2 linked regions of the Bombyx mori genome follow. The protein of the gene in region 1 purifies or fractionates together with the protein of each later gene. This does not show direct contact. Links are inferred from orthologs where the notes say so. Each region holds a gene or a part of one and is shown in the gene's direction. Other genes may lie near its edges.

What was found. Proteins that work in one complex are often made in the same cells at the same time.
Region 2: the proteins of E3 ubiquitin-protein ligase MYCBP2 (region 1) and F-box/SPRY domain-containing protein 1 purify together in Homo sapiens (affinity purification with western blotting; 7 studies listed by BioGRID and IntAct, with this or other methods). This does not show direct contact. The link is inferred for Bombyx mori from reciprocal best matches to the Homo sapiens genes MYCBP2 and FBXO45.

What each region holds. Positions count from the first base shown.
Region 1 is NC_085107.1:16,483,987-16,487,486, forward strand, and holds part of E3 ubiquitin-protein ligase MYCBP2, read left to right. Parts: intron 1-517; coding exon 518-748; intron 749-1,357; coding exon 1,358-1,472; intron 1,473-2,072; coding exon 2,073-2,260; intron 2,261-2,994; coding exon 2,995-3,153; intron 3,154-3,500. UniProt on the Homo sapiens protein: Atypical E3 ubiquitin-protein ligase which specifically mediates ubiquitination of threonine and serine residues on target proteins, instead of ubiquitinating lysine residues.
Region 2 is NC_085110.1:9,215,670-9,219,646, reverse strand, and holds the start of F-box/SPRY domain-containing protein 1, read left to right. Parts: upstream 1-1,177; 5' UTR 1,178-2,160; coding exon 2,161-2,489; intron 2,490-2,580; coding exon 2,581-2,854; intron 2,855-3,797; coding exon 3,798-3,888; intron 3,889-3,977. UniProt on the Homo sapiens protein: Component of E3 ubiquitin ligase complex consisting of FBXO45, MYCBP2 and SKP1. Functions in substrate recognition but also plays an important role in assembly of the complex.

The sequences.
Region 1 (3,500 bases):
CCTCTTATAGCGAAGATGAAAACTCAATCAAACCAGCCAGACCTCAAGGTACACAGTTAGTTCATTCAGTGCGGAACAAAACCTAAATGTAGCTTTATATTCAAATGTCGACGAAAAACACTTCTAGTGTGTGTTGCGAGTATTGATCATGCTATTTTTTATTGCTTTGATGGGTGGACGAGCTCACGGCCACCTGGTGCTTAAGAAGTTACTGGAGCCCATAGTCATTTACAACGTAAATGCGGCCACCCACCTTGAGACATGAGTTCTAAGGTCTGCTCCACTCTTCTAACCAAAACGCATTACTGCTTCACGGCAGAAATATAACTGTCAAAACGTCCAAAATAATATATGTATTGAATATAATACAGATTATATGTTTCTTATGCTTTATGAGCAAAGATTTGGATTGGGTCACTACGCTAGTCCAAGGCGATTGATATGTCCATTTCATGTGTAAGTGTGGTTCGGTAATCGAAACTTTAATAATAGGTACTTAAATTATACTGTATTATAGGAGAATCATGTATGGAGCTCTTCCGACGTGACTGGCTGGTGCGATATTACGGTATCTTCACGTCAAGGCATGGCCGGCGCCTTAACCGACGGCAGCACGGAGACGTTCTGGGAATCAGGCGACGAAGACAGGAACAAAGCAAAGTGGATACAAATCTCTTACCCGGGAGGCTCGCACGATGATCGCCCGCACATTGTGTGCGTCCACATCGATAACACAAGGGACACTGTGGTTAGTGTCGAAATGGTTTTAAAATTTGAACATTATTATTTGAATTTCACACTGTGAGAGTTAAAAGTAGGATAGTTGATGTTCGCAATATTAAAACAAGATGCAAACAATTCGCCTAGTCTTTAGTAATAAGAAAAAAAAAAATACATGTGTGCAGTTCACACGTGGTAGAAGTGAAACCTTCCAAAATTAAAATACAATTATCCTAAACGTCTTAAGTATGTGTAAAATTTTGTCATTCGTAAATAATTGTAAGGTAGCGCCCTCTGTGAATTGATATTTTAATTTCACGTATAATCGTAAATTAAAATTCACTACAAGAGCTTTCATACACACTTTAGTATTAAAAAATCTCACAGATGGCGCTGTATTAAATAGTATGTATATTTCTGTCTCATTCTTTGCTGGCTTCATCCTACACATTTTTGTATTTGTGTCTCTTACCTGTCGTTTTTTCCGTTGCATCCAGTTTGAAATCACAACGATTCTAAAGAAGTTTTCACTTCAATTAGATTTTGTGATACATAATTTAAAAAAAAACTAACTTCAATTGTTTTCTTAACAAATTACATATTTACTTATTTTAAATTAATGATTAACTATTTACAGAACAAGACGCTGCTGATGACGTTCCTGTACAGCTCAGGATCCACTGAGTTGATCCACATGCAAGACATAGAAGTCGATCCGAAGGTCGCTACTTGGCTCTGCTATACTTTACCACGTAAGTTACGAAACCGACAAATCTTGATTAAATTATGTTGTTTTACATTGAATTTATGAACTTAACATAATGACTGTGTGAATGAACTGTCCGGGTCGTCGTTACTCCTTACGGGGCCACGGAACGAGCGAATCCCTCTGTGTGATGGTAACATGAAGCGGAGGTGGGTTGGGGGAAGGTGTTGTGTTATGAGGTGCGTGCACCGGTCACACATTCACTCATACACATCGACTGAAATATACACAATCTTTACTAATATATACATCTACAGTGGTTTTTACGGATGCTCCGTTATAACTGCTGAACCATGCAGCCAATTGACTTGAAACTTGGTATTCATGTAGAAAACATATGTACTTAATGGATAGGCTAATATTTATATGAGTGTTGGACTCCCTACACCAGTTGCGGGGGCGTTAATGATGAGAATCTTTATGGGGGTGAGAAATAATAATGTTAATTTTAAATGCCCAGCCAAGCGGACGGGTACAGTTAGTTATTCATAATATTGTGGGACTTGATTGTGGTGGAGGTGTGGTGCCCGGAGGTACCGACTGGTGTCCTCTTCTTCAAGTTTGATTGATTTGAATGAAACTACAGGTGTGTCTACCACGTCGCTGCGCGTTCGATGCGAGCTCCGCGGTCCCGAAGCGGCGGTTCGAATCCGCCAGGTCCGGGTCCTGAGCGCGCCGACGCTCCTCCATTCAGCCGCCGTGACAGCGCCGCAAGTGTTGCACGGACTCTGCGAAACGGACACCCTGCGAGTTTTCCGCTTGTTGACTTCTCAGGTAAGACTTGGGCATTCAAATCTGTATTTAAATTGTCATCGTTTTCGTTCGACGTGCAACAACCTAGTCCATAGACACAATACACTGAGTTGCTCGCTGGATTTTTTAGTGGGTCGCGATTCCGATCCGGTGGTAAATTCTGCGAAGTACTATTCTTTCTGAGGTAATTGTTAGCAAGTTCTCTTAGGCTGATTTCGTTAGCTTACCTACGAAAAGCATGCGTAGCTGAAATAGCCCCTCGAGGATACCAGCGATTAAGTAGAGTTTTTTTGAAGTGAAACTTCTAATGTGACTTCCAACAAAGTTGCGTTAAACGTTGAACGCTACCATGGAATAGAAAGAGACAGAGCGAGAGCGAATGAGCGGCACTCGAACGCATGCGCCTAATATACCTATTACAGGCCATCACGAGCGTTAGCAACGAGTAGCGACTAATATTTTAATGAAGTATTAAAAAAAAAATGTATTTACTTTTCTATCTATAATTAAATATATATAACATCAATGTTGGAAAATGTCCCATCTCTTATACGCAGTGTTCCCTATTACAAAAGTAATTTGATTTAACGATGAAAAATGAACAAAAATACAATACTACATATCGAAAAAGAAGTTTCACTTCATTCGCGTGTACTAAGTTGCACGCGCACTGTTTTTTTTTTGTTTTCACGTCATCTGTATGTTACTTTTAAATGTCTATTCGAAATATCTCGTAACGATTACTCGCTCGGTAGGTGTTCGGGAAGCTCTTGGAATGGGAGCAGTCTAGCGACGCGAGCGCCGAAGCCGCGGTAGCAATCGACGATGGAGTTGCCAACGACGACAGCGATCTCAGAGAGCACGTTGTTGGCATCCTATTCGCTGGACACAAACTTACATCTCTGCAACGACAAGTACGTATCTAAAAAACCTTAACATATTTCATGGTATCGAAAATATTCAATACTTTTCTCGATAAACTCTTACACTATCTGTACTTAGAATAAGTAGAACCTTTACCATAGTATTTACAATTATGGACTTACTGATTAAGAACCAACAAATCTCTTTCCCCTATTGTTGTTTCGGGTTTTGGGTTTTACTATTGGAACTCAAATTACTCCGATGATTTTATTTTATTAAGTCGTCGTGGCCTAAAGGATAAGACGTCCGGTGCATTCGTGTTGAGCGATGCACCGGTGTTCGAATCCCGCAGGCGGGTACCAATTTTTCTAATGAAATACGTACTTAACAAATGTTT
Region 2 (3,977 bases), on another chromosome or scaffold:
ACGTCACGAACTATGAAAATGGCGTATAGTATACGTCCGTTACCTTCGCAATCGTCGGCGCAACTGGGCAAGCGAATGTGTGGGAGACTACGCGAAGGTTCGAGGCTCGCGCGCTTTGATGTCTCTTAAAAAACCGATACAGCTTGGAAAACCACGAATGCAGCGAAAACTTTGCATAATCATTCGCAAATGTCGTCCTACACTTGTGGGTTTGCGTATTCGTGCGCATGTGAGTGACCGGTGTTAGTCTACTAAAATTTATAGTTGATTGTTTTTTGATACAATATTCCACTGGGTGGCAAAAGACACCTAGCCCATTGAATAAGTATTTAAAATAAAATGAATGAAACCGTATCTGTTAGACAAAATGTAAAATGGAGCATAATCACATAAATTCACTCATTTAAAGCTTTTCTTCGTTAAGAACGGTTAGCTGGTAGAAAACTCAATTGTTGAGTTAAGCTCGCCATTTTTTATCATCATATGAAATTAACGTAACGTTATCATAACATCATATGAAATTAACGAAAAAGTAACCTTTCAATATCCTTGTCTTTTGTCGTATCACTCTTGTCAGAGCGGTCGTGGTCGTCATTCAGCATCATTACTGTGGGTAGATGTTATGCGTTTCGTGAGCAATCGCCACTCCTCCCGGTTTATGGTGAGCCTGGTACGCACACGCAAAGAGCCGCCAACTGCCCATGCCGATTTGAAAACAGTGCAATGGGGGGAATTTATTCAAATTTCAATGACGAATTTAGAAAAACCTGAAGTAGGTCATACGACTTGAAATATTTTCCTAAACTTGTGTACATTTGTATGTCGTCGTCGTGGCCTAAAGGATAAGATGTCCGGTGCATTCGTGTGTAGCGATGCATTGGTGATCCAATCCCACACACAGGTGGGGACATTCCAAAACAATTTCCAATGAAATATGTATTTAAAAAAAAAACACGATTGACTTCCATGGTGAAAAAATAACATCGCGTAATAAAAATCAAACTTGAAAAAATATAATTTGCGTAGTTACTGGTGGTAGGTCGTCTTGTGAGTGCGCATGGGTCAGTACCACCACCCACACCAATTGAGCCGTGAGATCTTTGACCCATCTATCAATTAAAAAAAAAGTTTCAAAAATCTTCTCCACTAAGCGGTTCCACTGAAGTAGGAAACCTAAGCGGTTCATAACATTTTTTTAAAGGCAGACAATGACGACTTGGTGTAAGATGTGTTAAGTTACCACTATAAAATCTGAAGAAATCCTAAATTGGCAGAATATAACATTTAATTCGGGTTTAATGGGTCAGTGGGGAAATTAATGTATTTAAAAAATCATAACGTGACAAACAATTAACTACAGAAACTATGAATATGTTTTTTTTTTATTGCCCTTGTAGGCAGACGAGCATACGGCCCACCTGATGGTGAGTGGTTACTTCTTCGACTTCAGCAATGCCAGGGGCAGAGCCAAGCCGCTGCCTACCGCAAACTATATGAATAACTAACTAATATTAAAGAGCATGTGTGCAGTAAAACGAAGTAAAAGTAAAACTTTCAGAATTATTCCGTGTTATTCTCTCGCAGGCTAATAATCCTTTAGACATATCTTTTTGCCTTTTTCAGTGTCGCTTTTTCGTTACACCGATTTTCATGTCACAGTAGTGCTCAAGTAGTTTTTACTCCATTATTCATCTTCCCAAATGAAATAAAATCTTCTTATTTTCTGGTAAGTATTAATATTCATTTCAGGCAGTCCTGAGCCTGATAAGTACGTAGGAGAACATTCATATATTAACAATAAAAACAACAAATTTTCAACTAATCGTGTTTTACTATGTTATCATTAAAGTGTTAATCTTTAGATATTGTCTGCTGATTCGATAGCGTTGTTTAGAAATTGTGAAGCTCGTTTTAAATATTATTTTTCCATACTTGATGACTGGCTGTTTGAGACCTGTCCCTTTTGTAACAAAAGTCCAAAGTGGACAAAACAAAATAAAACAACTTAACCTGAAACTCAGAATTTCCAATAAATTTCATCAAAAGCAATAATATTAAAATTCAATCACTAACCCGCTGTAACCATAGATCTTTCTAAAAAGGTATTAAATAACTACCAAAATTGTGCATTTAAAATTAAATGCTTATTTCTACAATAAGATGCGTCAAATTCATAGATACAAAAAATATGCTTTTGCTGAAATCATACCTGACCATATTTTGGAACTTATTTTTTTGTATCTAAGATTGAGAGATATTCGAAACTGTGCGTTGGTATGTAAGACTTGGTATAGAATGCTCAGTGATGAGAATAATGAAGTGTGGAGATATCATTGTTATAGAAGATTAACAGAAGAAATGATGAAATCTGATTTACTTTCGTGCCTCAGAACTTATAGAGAAAAACTTAGAGCATATTGCCATGCTTGGAATCCGTATGATTGTTCGAGAAACATTTATATCAAACCAAATGGATTTACTTTACACAGGTAATGAATTTTAAATGCTCTTTAGAGTATATGTATGAAAATTTGATAATGGTGTCATTTCAAGAAACTAAGTCCAATACATTAATTTCAGAAATCCTGTAGCACAGAGTACAGATGCTTGTAGAGGAAAGGTTGGATTTTATCGTGGTCGTCATGCTTGGGAAATTATATGGGAAGGTCCCCTTGGCACAGTAGCTGTCATAGGGGTGTCAACTAGAGATGCACCATTGCAATGTCAAGGATATGTAGGATTGCTTGGTTCAGATGAACTGAGTTGGGGCTGGAATCTTGTTGATAATCATTTATTACACAATGGTGATACTCAAGGACACTATCCATTGTTAAATAACTGCCCCAAATATCAAGTAATGCTTTTATTCTATTTATAACATACAAAAAATAGCTCCTTAACATTAAAGCATACAAATTATTGATTAATTTAAATTTAATTACATTTTTCAAATTAAATACACTATGTAATTCAACAGAAATAAAAACCAGTTAATGCATAGGGTCTATTAGGGTCTCATTTGAAGGTTTTGTCCTCCCTTTGTATTATAGCAAATAACCTCACTGTTTATTAAAAAATCGTTCCAATGATTTTATCTTGCTAGTAAATGTTGCTAAAAATTATGATCTATTATTTTATAAATAATTGAAGTTTTACACATAATTTTTTTTCTATGTTTTGAACTAAACAATATCTAATAGAAGTAGATATGACTATAATAGGCAATAACAGCCACTTTTGTGTTCCTGACCCTCAAACTAGTGACCTTGTAGATTAGAATATTTTATAGAATATAATTTGTCCAGCAAACAATTATTTTGACTATTTATGAACAGGAGCAATATAATATAATATTTAGGAGCAGGAGCTAGGGGTCTTGGGCATGACGTGGGAGGAGCTAGAACAGACTGCCCAAGACTGATGTAAATGGAAAAAATTGATTCGAGCCCTACACCCCAGCAGAGGGTAATAGGAAGGAATGATGATGATGATTTATGAACACACTAAAGTGAAAAGGCATATCTCTGTTTTATTAGAATAGATATGGAAGATAACCTCTGTAGCTTTAAGTAGTTACAGTGTAAAAATCTATCTGATTATGACATCACTGCTTCTCAGCAGAAATATCCACAAAAGTAGTATCATTCTGACTGTTAATGTGTAAACCAAGAATAGATGTATGTAAAACGATATTAATGAATGTTTTGGATTTAATGGGGTTTATTTATGTAATGTATTATATAGCTGACTACTGTTGTGTTTCTATGATTTGGTTAAATCTAATAAATATCTTCCAGGTTGGTGAAAGAATAAGAGTGATACTTGATTGTGATCGTCACACCCTCTCATTTGAAAGGAATTATGAATTTTTAGGTGTTGCATTCCGTGGTAATGAAATAAAAATTTAATAATACATATGTATAATAAAGTCAAGAGAGAGTGATCAAAATCATGTTATAGTTATGTCATTAGACATT